Medicago truncatula: one gene and its partner. The protein of the gene in region 2 interacts with the protein of the main gene of each other region in a pairwise test. Links are inferred from orthologs where the notes say so. Each region holds a gene or a part of one and is shown on either strand. Other genes may lie near its edges.

What was found.
Region 1: the proteins of retinoblastoma-related protein (region 2) and protein SCARECROW interact in binary tests that used the Arabidopsis thaliana proteins (3 or more experiments, as listed by UniProt). The link is inferred for Medicago truncatula from reciprocal best matches to the Arabidopsis thaliana genes RBR1 and SCR.

Annotation. Positions count from the first base shown.
Region 1 is NC_053048.1:34,592,545-34,603,596, reverse strand, and holds protein SCARECROW, read left to right. Parts: upstream 1-6,308; 5' UTR 6,309-6,701; coding exon 6,702-8,659; intron 8,660-9,212; coding exon 9,213-9,672; 3' UTR 9,673-10,293; downstream 10,294-11,052. UniProt on the Arabidopsis thaliana protein: Transcription factor required for quiescent center cells specification and maintenance of surrounding stem cells, and for the asymmetric cell division involved in radial pattern formation in roots.
Region 2 is NC_053049.1:15,475,259-15,485,338, reverse strand, and holds the start of retinoblastoma-related protein, read left to right. Parts: upstream 1-5,664; 5' UTR 5,665-5,842; coding exon 5,843-5,938; intron 5,939-7,696; coding exon 7,697-7,801; intron 7,802-7,887; coding exon 7,888-8,030; intron 8,031-8,111; coding exon 8,112-8,208; intron 8,209-8,330; coding exon 8,331-8,377; intron 8,378-8,474; coding exon 8,475-8,664; intron 8,665-8,941; coding exon 8,942-9,008; intron 9,009-9,179; coding exon 9,180-9,359; intron 9,360-9,442; coding exon 9,443-9,639; intron 9,640-9,726; coding exon 9,727-10,080. UniProt on the Arabidopsis thaliana protein: Key regulator of entry into cell division. Acts as a transcription repressor of E2F target genes, whose activity is required for progress from the G1 to the S phase of the cell cycle.

The sequences.
Region 1 (11,052 bases), on a different chromosome or scaffold from region 2:
AGACTATGATAGTCGAGTTGGGAAAACTGATTTTTTTTGTCTTCTCAAATCTACTGAAATAAAGTCCATGTGTCTCGAGGATCTAAGGCCTAGTCAAAACTTAGTAGAATTGGATGATGATGTTTAAAATCACACTCCATGTTTATAAAGCTACTAACTGTGAGCGATGATAAAGGAAGCACGTTCGTGTGAAGGTTGCGCATCAATAACATTGTTAACAGATGAGGTTGCAAATGAGGAAGTTGATATCTGAACTTGGGGCGCCATTGTTAGACATATTGCAATTCAATAACAAAAACTCAAACAACCGTACTTAATGCTCTACTAAAGAGGTTAAGAAATCCACAACTGGAGTACATGGTTCTTTTCTTAGTCTTCATCGTTTGAAAAAATATGGAATCACAATAGAGCAAATTAACTATACTTTGGCTAAATTTTTGCTACATCAATAATTATTATTCACTGTATAGTTGGATTTGGATGGAGATTTATTGAAACTGAAAGGGAGAGATCACGAGTTTGATATTCGTCACTGTTGAAAAACAGTTTGAATTGATCTCCAAAATAATTTGTTCAATTTCAATGCAATGCATTCCATCTACTAGTCATGTGCAAAAGACATTCTTTATATTTTAATATTTGTGGACTCATGTCTCTGTTTGTTTTCGTTAGGACAGGAATCACGACACATAAAATCATCACCTTGAACACTATTTCTCTCTTCAGTGAAATTTTATGTGAAAAGTTGAAAGTTTTTTCTAGCATTATAATTTCTTATAGATGAAAAAATTATTTGGTAAATAAATTATTATATGGAATTTTACTGTGGACCACTGAACTCATCATTAGAAGTTTCACTAACATACGAAAGGAGTTACTCAAAATACAGAAGATGTTATGTAGCATGGTAAACGCAAAACGGGGCACATGTAAAACAAGATATTCTTAAAACAACGGTAATAATAGGGGCCAGATGAAAATTGCTGTTCACACATGTTATAGGGTTGAAAAACACCAGTAAAATATCAAAATATCATTTCTGCAGTTAACTGTCGAAAAAAAATAAAACCAACTGCAGTTAACTACCGAGGAAATGAAAACCCAGAATTATCATCATCATCTTCTTCTTCTTCCTGTTATGAGTTTCACATAAGAACAAACTTTCAAACTTCAGGAAAACCCTCTTCTTCCTCCTCCTCTTCTTCATATAAAAAAAGACCAAAAAATTCAGAAAAACTAATATAAATTCACAATTAAAATTCTTTAATCAAATCTCTCTCTGCACAAAGTCTTACCGGTGAATCAAAACAAAAATGTAAATTCACGCAGCACTCACCCTCACCTCAAAGTGATTTTTGTTTTACTGGTGAATCAAAACATTGATTTATGGTGAATTTACGTTGGAAAACTTCTTTATGTACAAATTTATGGTGAATGAAAACTTCATTACCATTCAAATTAATGGTGAATTATGGGGATATAATATCACTACCACCATCAACAAATCTCTCTCTGCACAACGAAGAAGATGATGATGATAATTCTGGGTTTTCATTTTCCTCTGTAGTTAACTGCCGAGGTTTTCCTCGGAAGTTAAATGCAATCGATTTTATTTTTCCTCGACAGTTAACTACAGAGGGGGTATTTTGATATTTTACTGGTGTTTCTCAGCCCTATAACATATGTGAACAACAATTTTCGAGCCAGATTGTGTACAGTAACCAGCTTCACACAGTTTAATACAGTAAACAATTTCGACTACATAGTAAAATTTATTATAAATAAATGATCACATCCATCAGTTTGAGATCAAACTATCAAGATATGTTAGATCATCATGCAACTAACTAGAGTAATGTTATTTGAACATGATTAACATCTTATTTCAATATGAAATAAAAATAGGTTATTTATATCCATTGATGTGACTTGAAGAAATAATAAAAATAAACCACATGTTAAACAATAAAATTTATAATTTATATGTATATTGTGGACTCTTTAACACGGTGAATTTTAGGATGAGGGTCCAATTAGGTCCCTCACCGGTGGATCACGAAAAAAAATACCAATAGATTAAATAGATGGTTCATATTTATTAAAAGCAATAGTGAAAATATGTACAACTACTCACATTCAATCCTATCCTAAAATGATTCTAGTGTAGTTACAAATCGTGTTCTGATTCTTCCTCTATAATCAGTTACCACTCTTACACTCAAACCATCCAATATGTGAATCAAGTTATGAACCCTAAAATTAACTAATTTTTTCTTTTTCTTCAACAAATCTGTTAATTGCAATCCCATTAAATCTTCAGTCACGCAAGCGCTCTCATATATGGGAGAAAAATAAGTAATTGATTGAGAGTTCGTATAACATGAAATTTTGCATCAAGAAGGAATAAAAATACAATTAAAATTTGCGATGCATTCTTGTTGCTTTTGTGGCTTGTAATTCTTCAGTTCTGTATTATAGTTGGTTGATTAGAAGTTTGTTCAAGCAATTTTAAAGGAGTTAGATTGGTGCTTGTAGAGATTTTATTGATGGTGTATTTTCATGGTTTCACCCTATATTATAATTCTTCTTCCATGATACGACTCTTCGCTCAAATCATATCACACTCAAACCATGAAATTGAGTCTAAGTTATGAATCCTAAAATTAAATAATTTTCTTCTTCAACAAACGGCAATAATCCCCTTTTCAGTCCAAATCAGTGAATGATTTAATTTTATGAACTCTGAAGCATTTGTAATCACTCTAATGTCATAGTTCACTCTACTGGTTATGGACGGAGAATTATACAACAGACATTGGGGAAAACCATTAAAGGATAAGATTGAATGTGAATAGTTGTATATGTTCCTATTTTTAATTTGAATAAATCTGAAGCATGTATTTAATTCAACAGTGTTTTTTTTGTGGTCCATTAGTGAGGGACTTAATTGGATCCTCACCCTAGAATCCATCCTTTAACACACTACCTCACGCTCAACATTACACGGTTCGATGCATGGATATAAATGGTGGATGGTTCGATTGTAAAAATCTGATAGTAGGTGATCCAACAAGATCTTGGAGAGACTTTGATATTATCTTATAAATTGTGGTTGAGCTAACACAGCTTCACAAAATCGATTTAAAACGTGATGATTGCTTTCATTTATAAACTCATTGTCGGACCATCTTTTATTCAATATGAAACTCTTTAATTAAATGTTAATAGTAGATTAAATCATCGTATTAATATTATGGTAATTAAAAAAAAATTGTATAAAATAGCAATTTTATAACTGCAAACATGGTATAGAGAGAAAATTCAAAAAGTTACAGCAAGCCAAGCAAGTAGCTAAGGGCTATTCACAGTTCACACGTAGTACCAGTACCTTTTAGGCATTGATTTTGCTGCCACCTTTTCCGTAATGTGTCCGTTGCAGTGGTTGGTTTGACAAAATATGTTAATGGCACCAAATACTAAGCAATAAAATCAATTAAAAAAATAATCTGATTGAATGAAGTCAAGAGGAAAAAGCTGATTGGTGATGCCGTAGTTGAAAGCAAAATGTCAAACACTACGATTCACATTTTTTGGAACTGAGGTTTGACAGCTCCTTCCTTCTCCCTCCTCGTTTATAGTGACACTCCCTCCCTCCATATCTATCCCTTTTTTATGTCATTTTTTATTGCTCAATAATTCTTTTTCTAATAATAATTCCACAAATAATAGTAGTGTACTAATAGACATAATAATGCCAATTTTCAAGTGTCATTGTTTCCATATTTTCAATTTAAGCATTATCATATGATGGTGCTCCATGGGAACTTCAATAGATTATCTATTCCATAATATACATTGATTTAACATATTTTAACTATATTTTTCTATTAATTCACAGAAATAAATAATGTTATTATGTGAGATATTGTTGGATTCGTTTCGATGAATATTTTTAAAATATTAAATCTTCAAAACTTTTTTTAGTAGATAATTGAAGATATCAAAAATAAAACATATACATTGGTACATGTGTTGGACTCAACTAGGTCATCTAATGTAGGATGGATGGAGTATTATTTATTCAAGAAATACTAGCATGAGTAATTTGTTTTAGAGAAATGTTAACTGGTACCCCCAAGACACTAGTTAAAGAATCAAATATAATAAGTATTGTATTGGAATTTGTGCTGTCAACTCCTCAAAAACGTAAAATGTGTTATTTTCACTTTAAAACTTTCGTTTTTAATTTCCTTCCGACAAATGTTAAAGAATTTTTTCAAGTAATTTTGTTTCAAAAGTGGGTTACAAGCACATCAAGATTTCCATATAATCATTATCATATGATTAATTGCATTTTTAACAATGTCCACTGCTTCTAAAAAAAACTGTAACTATCGAAAATTGAAGAGATATAATTTTGACACACAAAAGGCCAACACCGAATAAAATATTGTTTGAGTTAATGTGTTTTTAGTCGAGGTCCGAGAAAATATTATATGAAAATCTAAATAATTTGTTCTAGAAAAATTAATTTGGAAATCATTATAGAAAAAAAGCAAAAATGGTTAACAACAGAAATTTAACTCTAGGTGTATTTTAAAAGTGGAAATCGGTGAACCCCTGAAGAAGTACTTTTGGACATTATTTCTCAGAAAAAGACTCTGACAATGGGTGGAGTATTTAATTTTATTGTGCAGATAAAAAAGCAGTATTTACTGGCAAGGAAGACAACGAAACCAAGATAGATCAGTGTTATTTTTAAGCCAGAACAGTCATTTCTGAATAATCAAAATGTGACAAATTTTCTTTTAAAAAAAAAAATGTGACAGTTTTTTAACAACGTATAAAAATAAAAATACATCTAAAACAATTGTTAACTTTTTTTTTTTTTAAGGAAAACAATTGTTAACTTGATTAGATAAGAAAGATAACATTTTAATCAAATTGACAATCGTATGTCTAGAAGTCCTAACTCAACTGGTAAATGCTGAAATTGCAAGGTCGGACGTCGTGACCTTGAGTTCGAACCTAAGATCTCACAGTTGTGTATGAGTTTAATTTCAATGAATTACCACTTCATCTAAGACCAAAAAAAATATTGACAATCGTATAAACATACGATGGCAGACAATGTTTGTAGTAATTTATAAGAATTAAATTTAATCATGACTATTAAAGAGCTTCTTCGTAGAGATTGGATGGTTAGTTTACGACATACATTGCGTGAGGGTAACGCTGCAGCTGATTTTCTAGTTAAAAAGGGTGCTCTCAGTGATAGTAGCCTTGTTATTTTGAATGAAGCCCCTCCTGATATGGCATGTGTCCTCTTAGCAGCTGCAATAGGTGTTGAGTTTGTTCGACCCTAGTATGGGTCTATTTTAGCTTCTCTGTTTTTTTTCCCTTTTGTTACCAAAAAATCAAAAGTCAAAACTTATATTTTTAACACAAATTTTCTATATATAATTTCCTTAATCATTGCTTTGATGGTAATGGTTAGCAGAACCCTGATTCTTTTTGTTTTTTTTTTTTTAAATTCACTTTGCACTTTAATGTGAATTTCTCACTTTTGAGTAGTCACATTCTATTTTGAAGTTGTATTCTCACATCTTATATGAATAAATGTGTATGATATATTCAAGGAAAGAGATACAAAATAATATAAAAGTCATAAACCGAATAGATTTACTCTATCTAAGATGAACCGTTCAAAAGAATCTAAATTTAATTTATGAATAGCGTAGAACAATTTTTGACCAAATTTTACCTATCTTTCAATCGAACTCAATCACTAAAACTTTCCTATCGTAAAAATTGGAAGATTAACACACACTCAAAAAAGAAAAGTGCAAACATGATAAGTTAATGTTAAATTTTGTGTAAAAAAACATATTTCATAAATGAGACAAGTTTTACAACTTGCATACGTTAGTTTTCATCTTTTGGATCAATAAACTTCACCATAGATAGAATACGAATTATTTATTTAATAGTGAAAATAACATATATATATATATATATATATATATATATAAATTATGCAAAATTATTTATCTGTTCATGTTAGACAAAACATGAAGATATTATGGAGTATCAAGTTTTCTTAGGATCATGAAAATGAAGAATTGAGCAGCATGTTTTTGATAAAAATAAAAATAAAAATTGGGTTGTACTATATGGCATGGCACTAATGCATGTGGTTGGACAAAATAATAATAATAATAATATGGTTAGCAAAATATAAATAAATAAAATAAAACAAAGTGCACAAAGACGAATAACTAGCCGCCGTGAGCAGTTTTGATTCATGTTCTTCTACCCAAGACACACTCCCTTTTTCTTTGTTTTGCACCCTCCCATGCAAGAGAGAGAGATTTATCAGAAACATCCAAAAGCCTAAAGGCATAGAGAACCGTGTTGCTAGAGAGAGAGAGAGAATCAAACTCAATTACTACTCCTATGAGAAGAGAATCCTTTAGCTACTGTCCCAATCTTCACAACGTTATCTCCTTGTAACTTTGGAACCAACAACACTACACACATGTATGTATTTGCCTCTTAAACCAACATTTCTTCTAGTATAGTACTACTATATGCCCCCCCCTTAATTATTTCATACTATTAATGCACTTGTACTAGTACTTTACACATTCATTTTCAACCCAACCCAACCCAACCAAATATTCATCTTGCTTTCTATCAATATGGCTGCTTGTGCTTTGTTCAATGGTGCTACTACTGATGAAACCAACAACAATAGTGCTTCAAACTCCAGCAATATCAGTAGTGAAGATTTACACACTCTACACAACAGCAACACCAACATGCCACAACAACAACAACCTCATTCTGATAGAAAAGTGCTTAGAAAAAGAATGGCTTCTGAAATGGAACTTCAACTTCAAGTCCACAACAACAACAATAGATTTTCTCGTAGAAACAACAACAACATTTCCTCATTGAATTGTTCTTTACCTTCTTCCACAGAAAAAGGTGTTACAACAACAACAACAACAACACTAGCCGCAGGTACAAATAATAATGCTAATAATAATAACTTTCATTATAATACTAATAATATAAACAATAGTAGTCATCATAGTAATGTTGCTTTGTCACGAGATAACGTTGCTGTTCAAAATTACCCCACTGTGACCGTCACAACCAACTACTCCACTATGTTGCTACCTTCTTCTTCCAACAATCTCAACAATTCCTCAACCTCAAACTACGCTCATTTTCAACAACCACTTGTTGAGGAACAAAACCATGTTCCTAATATTTGTGGTTTTTCTGGTTTACCACTTTTTCCATCTCAAAACCAACCCAACAGAACCAGCAACAGAAACAGTAACAGTAACATAAGTTCTGCTACTAATATTGTTGATGTTGTTAACTCTTCTACACCTTCTATGATGGACGAAACATCAGCTACAACAAACTGGATTGATGGTATTTTGAAGGATCTTATTCATACTTCAAACAGTGTTTCTATTCCTCAACTTATCAACAATGTTAGAGAGATTATATATCCTTGTAATCCAAACCTTGCTCTTGTTCTTGAACATAGGTTACGTCTTCTTACAGAAACTGCTCCAAGTGTTGTTCCTGAGAGAAAAAGAAACAACACTGAACAACAAAGTGTTTCTAATGTTAATGTTTTACCTGCTTCTAATGTTAATTCCTCAGTCAAACTCATGAACCGTGTTGATGACATTGTTCCACATTTTTCTGATTCATCAACTCTTTTGAATCAAAATCAAAACATGTTTCCTAATTGGGGTGTGCCACAAATCAATAACAACAATAACCCTTTGGTTACTTTACCTTCACAACCACAATCAACACAACAAGATCAACATCAACATCAACAACATCAAGAGCATCAAGAAGATCTTGTACCTGCAACAACACCACCACCACCAACTTCTGCTGAGTTAGCAATAACAAGAAAAAAGAAAGAGGAGATTAAAGAACAGAAGAAGAAAGATGAAGAAGGTTTACACCTTCTAACATTACTTCTTCAATGTGCAGAAGCAGTATCAGCAGAGAATCTTGAACAAGCAAATAAGATGTTACTCGAAATTTCGCAGCTTTCTACGCCTTTCGGGACCTCGGCACAAAGAGTAGCAGCTTATTTCTCAGAAGCAATTTCAGCAAGACTAGTGAGTTCATGTTTAGGAATCTATGCAACACTTCCACCACACACACTACATAATCAAAAAGTTGCTTCAGCTTTTCAAGTCTTCAATGGTATTAGTCCATTTGTGAAATTCTCTCATTTCACTGCTAACCAAGCTATACAAGAAGCTTTTGATAGAGAAGAAAGAGTTCACATCATAGATCTTGATATCATGCAAGGTTTACAATGGCCTGGTCTTTTTCATATCCTTGCTTCAAGACCAGGTGGACCTCCTTATGTGAGACTCACTGGATTAGGTACTTCCATGGAAACCCTTGAAGCTACTGGTAAACGTTTGTCTGATTTTGCATCTAAACTTGGTCTTCCTTTTGAGTTCTTTCCTGTTGCTGAGAAAGTTGGAAATATTGATGTTGAGAAGCTTAATGTTAGTAAATCAGAAGCTGTTGCTGTTCATTGGTTGCAACATTCTCTATATGATGTTACTGGTTCAGATACAAACACTTTATGGCTCTTGCAAAGGTTGGTAATGGTAATAAAAGTTTAGGTGCATATACTCTGCATGAAATGTTGTTATAGTTTGTTATTGTTACTCTTTTCCATTTCTTGTTGGTTTTGTATATATAATCTACATGATTTAGTGGTAGCTGATATAGAAAAATAGCACTTTTTCATGAAAGATTTCCCAAAACTTTATGCTTTTTATTACCTTTATAGACTATAGTGCTCACTTTATGTCTACCTTTTTTCTCTTCTAAAGGTAAAATTGGAAGCTATGATTATGTCTTTGTGTAAATTAATAGATAGAAACAAAAATAACTATTTGTTATTAAGATGATGTTTATAGTAAGTTTTTAAGGACATAGCTCTCATGTATGATTGTTATCACAATTTACAAACATGGCATTAATATCTCTATAGTTTCTAATTCAACATTGGATTTGCATGGGATTGTTATTCTGGTTATGTGTTTATCTATCTTTGTCTCTCTTACTTTTTATCTTTTACCAGTTACGCACATTTAAAAAATACAAGGACATCGTCAAAAAATCATTTATCTTTTTGTTATATGTAGGTTGGCACCTAAAGTGGTAACAGTAGTGGAACAAGACTTGAGCAATGCAGGCTCATTCTTGGGAAGGTTTGTGGAAGCAATACATTACTACTCAGCATTATTTGATTCTCTTGGTTCAAGCTATGGAGAAGAGAGTGAAGAGAGACATGTGGTGGAGCAGCAACTATTATCAAGAGAGATTCGTAACGTACTTGCAGTTGGTGGACCATCAAGGAGTGGTGAGATAAAGTTTCATAATTGGAGAGAAAAGCTTCAACAGTGTGGTTTTAGAGGTATCTCTTTGGCTGGTAATGCAGCTACACAAGCTAGTCTTCTTCTTGGCATGTTCCCTTCTGAAGGGTATACTTTGGTTGAGGATAATGGTATCCTTAAACTTGGTTGGAAAGATCTTTGTTTGCTTACTGCTTCTGCTTGGAGACCTCCCTTTCATACCAACAATATCATACCACATCATAACTGATGGAACTAATCAATCTCGTCATTGATTTAATATCGAACGACTCAGTACCTCCATGACATAGTTACTGCAGGGAATCTAATCTCTGCTTAGTTAGGAATGAAAATAGATTCCCCGCAGTCACTGGTCATGTAGTAATGATTTTGATGGTTGATGAAGATCGGACGGTTGAAATTGATTTACCAAAGTTATAATGTGAGTCGTCTGATTTATATCTCATGGATGAAGATTGGATGGTTGAGATTGATTTACCAAAGTTAAAATGTGAGTCGTCTGATCTGTATCTCATGACTTGCACTAGCTTAGTCCCTGTTGATGGCCTTTTGATTTGCATATTATAATCCTTTGTAGCATCCCTATGTTCCTTTAATCAAAATTTAAGAGATATTATTAGGTGTTTAGGAAGCATGTGATATTTCTTGCTGCCAAATGTGTACCGCTTCAGTGATGACACAAAAATGTACGAGTTAATAATAGAAGAGAGGGATGATAATATGGCTGAAGAGGTACACATTTAATATGATAGTATTTTGTTTTATTAAGAGAACTCATAAGCATGCTATTGTGATATTTCATACCTTTATGGGTACCAAATTATATATACCTTTACTATGTGTTTTATAATGCGGTGACAAAACAGAGTCATGCATGCATGAGAGTAGCTCTAGTAACCATCACATTTATTTTAAATTGGACATTACATTTTTATCTAAAATTTTAAGGCATGGATACAAGTCTTCTCACTTATTGCTCAACTTCTAAGTTATCATTGAATGATGACCTTTTTACTCAAACTTATCATACCAACATAAAAATTAATTTTGAACGAATGCATTTTGTAAATTCGCTTTTAGTTAAAAGTGAGTGAGTTTGAAGTCATTTTTATTTGAATAAACTTATGTAAAAGTGGGTTGAATAATAAATGTAAAATAAGATTTATTCACTTAAAAAAGAGTAGGACAACTAAAAAACACGTTTAAAATTAGAAAGTTAGAAACAATTCAAAAGTCAGTATATCAATTCTTCTTAAACACACCCTAAAAATACCAAAATGGATTATACACCTCTAAATTAAATTTTAGCTCATGTGAAAGTGAAATGATACACACATTTTGATTAGTGGTTGGAATTGCTACGTAGCAATGGGCTGAACTATACGGATCATACAAAAATTTCACTATCTCTTGGAAACAGACACTTGAAAAGATTCAGATATCTCCGCAGAGTAATGTCACGAGTCATGATAAATAATTTTTTTTTGTACAGTTTTCGTACATATTTAATTTAATGGAGTTATACGGTATTGGATCGACATTTTCACCGACGGATATGAAGTCTCCAAAGCATAAGGTGTACTAAGAAGGCCCCTAATAATTACAACCT
Region 2 (10,080 bases):
GGCCTAATCCATCCTTTTTCATTTTGTACTTTCTTTTCTTTTTTGGTTGATATATATTGAATGATGCATAATGCGTCATTCTAGTTTATAAAAAGAAAAATGACAACAATGAGTTCAAAGACATGAAGGATAGTTATATTTTCAGTGAAGATGGTGGTTGCTTAATCGATGCTTGATAATTTTAACTTGTTTTTATGTTGGTTTTTAAGTTTGATGGCATAATACCAAGACAATATTTGAAAAATGTTTATCATTTTATTTTACAAATCTTCCAAACTTTTGAAAGACGATAACTTTAATAAGACCCTATATGTATTACCTTCAATGACTACTCTATTATGCTATATATTACGAAGATTTCAATTAACTATGGTTTCAATAATAATCTCATCTTCCGCTATTGAAATGCTTAGAGTGGTGGTTGATTCATGAATGGAGTTGAATGACAGAAGTTGTGCAAAAAATTGTGAAAATTAGCTTTTAGAGTTCTTTATTTCTATGTTTTATTTCAATTAATAGTTTGAAGATTAGTACTGGGTATATTGACTTTTGATTGTTTTTGCAATGGTTTGTATAATGGTTTCAAATCTTTTTGATTTCTCACTCGGTTTATATTTTCATGTGATTGACTGTTGATTGTTTTTGCTATGGATTGTATCATGGATTTAAATTATGGTCTGGATCCGCAATTACGACTGCAAATATTGCTGCTGCGCACAATGGCATCACACTGCGCTTTGCTTGTTAACTATCACCAACATTTTTACATGCTAGCACCTTGCTATATTTTCAGGTGTGTACTTTGGGAGACACTAGACTTTTTCATTTGTGCATGGTTGGTTATTACACTAGATAGCGACCCGTGCGATGTATGGTTAAGGATACCAAAATTAGTTTAATAAATGTTGTTACGATAAAAAGGTGGTTGCAACAAAGCTGCGATGCATTTTCCATCCTGTGGGCACATATCAAGATTATAGGCCTACCACTTCAATCAATCTTTGTATTGCAGTACTTATAGCTCTTCAGAACCGAGTAGGTTTCTGAGAATCTTGATTCTGATTATTGCTTTGTTCTTTCAAGGGTGAAATCCTCTGAGTGTTGGTGAAATAGAATCTTTGTTTTGAGAATCTTTGTTCTTTCACAAACCTAAAGTCCTTTGCTAAGCATTTGGTGAAATAGAATGATCAGAATAATAGCACATCCTCAAGGATAAAATCAAAGTTGGTCTACCAAGCATTAACATTATTCAACTATGCTTCTTCAGAAAAACATTATTGAACTATGGTCTTGTTGTGGAAATTACAAGCTTCTAAAATTATTGGTAGAAATTAACCATTGCAAATATGTATCTCTAGCACATTGTAGATTCCTTGTTTAGACTAAAGAGTATCTTAGCATTACTAGTGAAACATATCAGGATCAACCGAATAATGATTGCAAATAATGATTCCTTGTTTACACTCAAATCATGTGGATATATTTTAATTAGGAATCAATCTATAACCAATGATTTTTTATTTTTTTTTAACAAGCCAAAATGGAAAATAACATTACCAAAAGTGTTTTATCTGGCATAAGATGTGCAAAGAGAAACAGCGAAAACAGTTACAAAGTCAGGTCATGGGTCCCTGAAAAAGGAACAACGCAATGAAGAAAACAATAATAATAATAACATTACATCAAAACACTCATGCATGATAAAGGGTGCTGCAACCACTCATGGATGCTGAAAATAAAAGCCTGCATATTGGATTTAAGCCAAAAGTACGATTGCCGTTTAACCTTGTCCGCCATGCAGTGGGAATCCAAAAACTTGTGATTAAAAACTCTATTGTCACACTCCTTTCAGATAACCCAAACGCAAGCTAGCCAGATCATCCGAAGGAATGAATGAGAAGAACTTGGTAATCCAGCAAGATGCCCGAACTGAAGGAGATGATCACGAGCCTCAAAAGGAGCGATGCAGGAGATGTCGAGCCACCGGAGAACCAAAAACCACACGCTACTTAAAGTGTTGCAGCTAAAGGACAAGTGATTTGTAGTCTCTAGAGACCCACACCCCCTTCACAAACATATTGTCGTCAAGCTAAAGTATTTGTCGCCGCACCAAGTTATCTTTAGTCGGAAGACGATCACAGAGAAGTCTCCAAGCAAACAAAGAGACTTTTAACGGAACCTGTCTATGCCACACATCGTCAAACAGACCACAATCAGGATGATCGGTTTCCTTTGTGAAGTAATGGTAAGTTCCTCTAACAGAGTAGCCAGCAATAGGGTCAAGAAGCCAACGCCACCTCTCATGAACATTATCCTACAAAATAATAGTATGCAACAACACCCCACACTCCAAAAGACTCTCCTCCTCCTAGGCCTCCTCCACTATAACAACGATATTTTGTGCAATTTGATTGAAGACGTGTGTAAGATAAACCACACTAAGAGTGCATAAAAATTAATCTTATAAATTATTAGAGTAAATTTCTGATATAATCTTCATACATAAATAGTGTAAAAAATTGTGTACCTCAGCAAATTACAACCAATTATGTGTGTAATATTTAAAATAGATAGGAGTAAAACTAAACGTAATCAATGGTCTATCAATTATTATCAATTCAAGGTGTAAAAATTGTTTACACCAATAATGTATAAATTAAATTTATTAAAAAATTTCATATCATTAAACAAATAAGATTAATTTCGAAGCACTATGTTATAATCGTATCTAATCATATAGACAAGTAATATTTTTTAAGCTAATTCTTAATACCTCTACTAATTTTAATTAATATGATTGAATGCATGTGTAAAAATATTTTATATTATCGGTCTATATGAATTAAAATTCGAAATTTATTGGTTGTTTTTCAATTCAAAAAATTTACAAACTTGCAAAATTATCTATGGTTAAAGACTTAGACTTTGTTTGGGAGTTTGGAGGGGAGGGAAGGGTTTTGAAAAAAAGGAAGGAGAAATAAAAGACATTGGGATGATAGAGTTTGGGGGTTAATTTTTTTATTCATAATATCAAATACCCCTCAATCCAAGGAACTCAAAATTATACTAGAGGAGGGTTTTTGGAGGGATTATATGAATTTTTCAAATTAAATCTATGTTGTTATAATATTCTTAAAATTATAAGTATATTAATCATAAGTGTTAATTTATCATTCTCTAAAAAATTATTCTTTCAAAAAATATGAAAGATTTTTTATTTTCCTATATATTTCCCACTCCCAAAGCGCTCATTTTCCCTCTGTTCCAAACTCTCAAACAAAGCATTCCTTTGACATGTTTAATCCTAATTCTCGGTCGTAATGTTTTTTCGTGTATTTATTTCTTTTCTACTTTTGTATCTTTGAGGACTTATTCTATTGTTGAAATTGGTATAAAAAGTAAAAAAAAATGAAACAATGAAGTAGTGTTTATTGTTAACTTCGCTATCACTCTTCTAGTGTTACTCGTGCTCGTTGTTTGGAAGCGTTAGACCTTATTGATATTTTGAGTTAATTGCTGATCATTAGAAATTAATTAATTGTTGTAGCTATTATAATCAAAATTATTGAAAGATTTTTTAAATTATATGTAGTCTTAGTGTTTATTATTATAATATGTTGGATTATAATGAAATTTCTCGAAAGTGCGAGAGAATTGGACTAACTTCAGATTATGAAGTGAACTAGTATAATTTACTTAATTGTGTCGTTTATCTTTTTCCTTAATTAACTCTTTACATACGTGCACATTATCTCCCATCTAATCATAAAATGGGTCAACACTTTTTAGTTACATGGTTAATTAATTAGTTAGTTGAATTTGTTACTTAACTAACAAATAACCAATATAAATAGGTTGCAGTCACATTTTTTCATTCACAAATGAGAATTGGTACAATAAAAATACTTTCTCTCTTAATTTCATCATTTATATCTTTTTCAACCATTCTTTATACAAATTGTTTGCATGGTAAGAAACAATAGTTGCGCTAACAGAGCCCCCACCTCTCAAATCTATTTAATTCATATTTTTAAGGAAATCTATTCAATTCATGTAATAGTAGAATAATCCTCACTTATATTTAAAGTGATTTTTACGAAACCGTGCCAAAAGTGAGTATAGTGTATTAGTAGCTCATCAATAAGCAATAAATAAATCAATGAATTCAAGTCATAATAGATTAAATACCGTTTATTAAAAAAACAAACATGGATAGAAATCAAATACTAGGAGTTACAAAAACAAGAAATTAAATTAGAAGATACTTTCTCTCTAAAAATTATCACTTAATTATGTTGAACCACATATTTTATTTTTAACATTTCTTTTTTTACTAAAATAAACTATATTCATTTATTCAAATTAGTAGAGTATATAAGAATGGATTAAAATTCCTTTAAAAAAAACAAAAAGAATGGATTAAAATTCAAAATTAATAAAAGCGAAAAGTATTAATCTGCAAACAAACTAACAACTTTTAAAATGACAAAGTAAATACAATTAATGTGACAAAATCAAAGTGACTGAAATACTCATGCATTCAGATATGCAACGTTTAAGTTTAAGTGATGATCATTTAATTGAACATTGATAGATTAAAGTTGGCTAGTCATGTCAAACCAAACAAACAACTTACCAAAATGGGAAATTAGCCAACGCTGCACAAAAACGATGAACAAAGAAAGAAACGATGCACTAGGACGACAAAATAAATTTTTTATTTTTATCTAAAAACCATTTATTTAAATTAAAAGAGAGAGTGAAATAAAGAACGACAATTTTAGACCCTCAATAAAAAAATAGAAGAGAGAACCAGCAAGAAAAACTACAACCACTTGTTCGAGAGGTAGCGTTAGTGTAATTTATTTATTTTTTCATATTTTTAGATACTTTTTTTTTTCACATTTTTAGATACTTTATAGGGTTAAGTATGTTTTTGGTCTCTATAAATATGTAAACTTTTCGTTTTAGTCCTCCCAAAATTTTCCTTCAACATTTAGTCCCTATAAAATTTTCAATCTTCACTTTTGGTCCCTCTTTAAAGTAAAATCATATGTAGAATTCATATTATTTAATAAAATTTTCCAGGAAAATTCGAAATATTATAAGAACCACTTCAAAAAAATTTGAGAATTTTTTAACAAAACGTGAATTTAATATGAATTTTTATATTTTTTACGGTTAAAAATTTATATTTAATTTGTGTTTTGTTAAAAAATTCTAACTTTTTTTAGGAATTTTTTTTAGAATATTTTACACATTTCTTCCAAATTTTATTAAAAAATACAAAAATTAAATTTAAAATAAGGACCAAAAATAGTGATTGAAAATTTTATAGGGATTAAATGTTGAAGGAAAATTTTAGAGGGACTAAAACGAAAAATTGACATATTTATAGGGACCAAAAACATATTTAACCCTACTTTATAAATTACTTTTTGTTGGGAACGAAAAAACCATATACTAAGGTAAGAAAACGAAACATAGTAAAAAACATAGAGAGACAAAAAACCCAGTCAAACAACACAAAATCCCTATCATACCCCTAATCCACATCAGCCTTACATTAGGCGGGAAAAACCTGTAGGACATAACATATGTGGCGCCAAAACACAATCTTAACCTTTTTTTAATAATAAAAAAACATTATTATTAAATAAAATTAATATGTTTATTCTCTTTTCGTGAGTTTCTGAGATTTCTCTGTTCTTATTCCCCCCTTTCCTTCATCCTAGGGTTTCTCAATTTCACACCTAAATTGCGATTCCTTGTCAAAATTCACCCAATTTTCGCTCGAATTAGGGTTTCTACTCACTCGATCTGTGTGAATTAGGGTTCTTTCATGAGTCCTTCAGCTGAAACGGAGATGGAAGATACTAAGCTTTCTGTTGTCGAAAATGGTGACCAAGCTGTTTCTCGTTTTGCTGAGTTTTCAAAGGTGATTGCTTTGTTTTAATTTTCATTTTTCGTTTTCTGGGTCAGTTTTTTGATGTGAAATTAGTTTAATTAATGTTTTTTTTGGTGTTGTGTTTTTATTTTGTTTGAGCTGATACTGTTTGTGAATTATGTTTATAAAGTTTTGATCTTTAAGTTTTTTAGTTTGTAGGGTTCGTTTGTGATTTGAAGAAGTGAAATGAAATTTGTTCTTTTTGTTTGTAAACCCTAAATTGAATTATTATTGAGAGATAAAATGCATGTTAAAATGTTTTATTGATTAATCGATCGATCTTCACGGAAAGATAGGTGCATAGATTTTTTTTTTGGGTTAATTAAGTTTTTAGTCCCTATAAATATTCACAGTTTTGTTTTTAGTCCCTACAAAATAAAATCACACTTTTTAGTCCCTGTGACATTTTCCTTAAGCATTTTAGGGACTAAAAATGCTGATGGAAAAATTTTATAGGGACTAAAAATGCTTATGAAAAATTTTATAAGGACTAAAAATGTTGATGAAAAATTTTTAGGGATTAAAAAGTGTGATTTTATTTTGTAAGGACTAAAAACAAAATTTTAAATATTTATAGGGACTAAAAACTTAATTAACCCTTTTTTTTTTGTGATTTGAGGCATTTTTTACATTTTGGTGTATGATAAAGTTGAGTTTTTTATTATTCCTTTTTGACTTGGTTAAATTAATCAGACATGTTTTGGTGATAGTATGTGATGGAGAAAACTTAGGGAGCAATTAATCACCAACCCTTCCAAGGTCATCAATTTAGCAGATCAGCAACCCTTCCTAGGTCATTAATTTAGCGGAAATGAATGTTTAAATTCAGAAAAGTTTGTCCGATTTATTGATCTGTCATGTACTGTCGGTTAATGTGGTTGAAAAATTGTGTGGTCGGGCGTTTTCACTTTGTGATTAATCGGTCTGCATTGATTTGTTGGGAGTCTTTCTTTTAGGATCACTATTATTAATTGATCTGTCGTTTCCGGTTCTTTTGTGTTATTGGGAGGGGAGTTTGACATCGGTTACCTATTCATTATTAATTTGTTCCAGAAAGAGTTTATGGTACAAATCAATAGTTGTGAGTAGCATTACTAATTGCATCTGTTGTTTGAAACATGAAACTCTTAGCTTATTTCAAATAACGGATGGATTACGAAGGAAAGTCATGCTGCCCAATTAAGCGTTGGCTATCCCTTCACACCCCAGCCCTTCATTTTTTCGCCAAGTCCTGTCACTAAGCCACATGTGTTTGGAAGCTTGCATTATTTTCGGTCAACTCACTCCATTTACTTGCCATACCTTCTCATTATGGCTATGCTCTGCTGTATCCTCTGTTGCACAACAATTTTCTATGTGTATGCCAGACACCAAATAGGATAAATGTACATGTATGGTTATTACTTGTGTTTAGACAGATCTAATGAGTTTTAAACTGAGGTTTTTTATTCATTAAATTATACATTGATTGGCTCTGTTTAATTGACAGTCTTTTAGACAGATAGTGAAGATGACTTAAAAATGTGCTTGTGGTTGATGATACAAAAATATTAAGTACTAACCCTTATTTATACTATCCAAAGATTCCAAATCCTAATTAAATAGGGAAACAAATTATGATAATATCCAAGTAAAATGGGAAACTAATATCGAGAGACACTGCAAGATAGGAAAACAATCCTACGAGATAATATAATATTTTTGTGACAGGATAATTTTTATATATTTTAACTCTCTCTTTTGTTGCAGAATGAGCTAGCATTGGATGAGAAAAGCTGTAAAGAAGCAATGGATCTGTTTGGAGAAACCAAACATCTTCTCATGGCAAATGTTTCATCAATGGGAAATGGAACGGTACGTATGCACACAACTCTCTAGTATGAAATCCATTTGTCATTGAAGTTTTTATTTGAATTCATGAGGTTTATAAATATTTTCAGATAGAAGAAGCAGAGCGGTACTGGTTTGCTTTTATTTTATACTCTATCAAGAGGCTGACTCAGAAAAATGAGGAAAGTGAAAAAGAAGAGATTGAGAATACCGGTCTTACCTTGTGTCGAATATTGAGAGCAGCAAAGCTTAAGTATTTTTCTGACCTTTATCTAGTATCAAAGTTTGTAGTTTGGTCTTTTATTAACTGGTATGTTTATCTTGTATTGAACAGCATTGCAGATTTTTTTAAAGAACTTCCTCAGTTTGTTGTCAAAGCTGGTCCAATTTTAAGCAATCGATTCGGCTCTGATTGGGAAAACAAGCTTGAGGTATTGACTAGTCTGAGAATCACGATTGTATTTTTGCCAAGTTAATTGTGATTATATACTTTTAAATCCTTCAAATCAGTTATATACTTAGCTAATATTTTATGTTGCTATGTTTATATTAGGCAAAAGAGATGCATGCTAACACTATTCACCTGAAGATTCTTAGCAAGTGAGTAGCCCAGTATTTTTTATGTTTTTTTTTGCAGTATAAGGTTGCTTGCTTTGATTATAGTTTGCTTTACATCTTACGACTTTGATTGTGCCAGGTATTATAAGCGTGTATTTGAAGAGTTCTTCGTGTCAACTGATGCAAATGTTGAAAATAAGTCGTCTGTTACGGGCCGTGTATCTGAGTGCCATCGTTTTGGATGGTTACTTTTCTTGGCCCTTCGTGTACATGCTTTCAGCCGTTTTAAAGACTTGGTGACTTGCACCAATGGTTTAATTTCTATCATGGTCAGTTAGATTCTTTTGCAGTCTTTTAGTCTTTTTCATTAATGGAATATCCATGAAGTGGTTTCATATATTTTTTTTCTGTTCACATAAAAATGAGTATAAATTCAATTATTGGTGTCTGTTTCACTGCTGAAATTTTGCACACTTGAAAATAATTGTTTGAGCATTGATATTTTTAATGTACATAGATAAATTCAATTTTTCCATTTTTTTCTGGTTGTAATACTTTTGAGGTGAAGGAAACAATTTCTTATTGTTCTTGGTGTATCTGTTACAGGCTATCCTAATTATTCATGTTCCGGCTCGTTTTCGGAATTTCAACATTCACGACTCTGCACGCTTTGGTAATTTCTTTGTTACACCTTCCTGCATTTTGATATTATACTGTTATTGTTCTGTATCTTAGGGACATGGTATTTGCACACATACACATTTAATTATAATTATAAGGTATTTCAGTGGTGGGCTTAAATGTGGATTAATTTTAATTTAAGTCCATTCAAAATTTCTTGCAGTTAAGAAAAGCAGTAAAGGTGTGGACCTCCTTGCTTCACTTTGCAACATATATAACACTTCAGAAGATGAGTTGAGGAAAACCATGGAGCAAGCCAATAATTTAGTAGCAGATATATTGAAGAAGACGCCCTGTTTGGCATCTGAATGTGAAACTGAAAACCTAGAGGATTTTGATAAAGGTTTACTTTCCTTTGCCCTTTTATCATTCTATGCATCAGGATTCCAACATATGATATCTCTAACTGTTGTTTACACTTTGTAGATGGTTTGACTTATTTTAAAGATCTCATGGAGGAATCATCTCTGGCGTCTAGTTTGAATATCTTAGAAAATGATTATGATCAAATGACTCGCAACAAGGGTGAACTGGATGAAAGGTTATTCATTAATGAGGATGACAGCCTGCTAGCTTCAGGAAGTTTGTCTGGAGGTTCTTCAGTTTCAGCAGGAGGTGTAAAGGTATGTCTCATTAAAAATTTCTTCTAAATTTCTTGTTCCGTCTTGTGAAGATAATACCTAAAATAATCTATTAATTGTGTTCTGTAGAGGAAATATGATTTGATGATGTCACCCGCCAAGACCATTACAAGTCCACTTTCACCCCAGCGCTCTCCTGCATCCCATGCTAATGGCATTCCAGGTAGCGCAAATTCAAAGATTGCTGCCACCCCTGTAAGCACAGCAATGACTACTGCAAAGTGGCTTCGAACTGTCATTTCTCCACTTCCATCAAAGCCGTCACAAGAGCTAGAGCGATTCTTGACTTCATGCGACAGAGATATTACTAGTGAGGTAGTACGCAGAGCACAGATTATATTACAAGCTATATTTCCTAGTAGTCCCCTTGGCGACCGATGTGTAACTGGAAGCCTGCAAAGTGCTAATCTCATGGACAATATA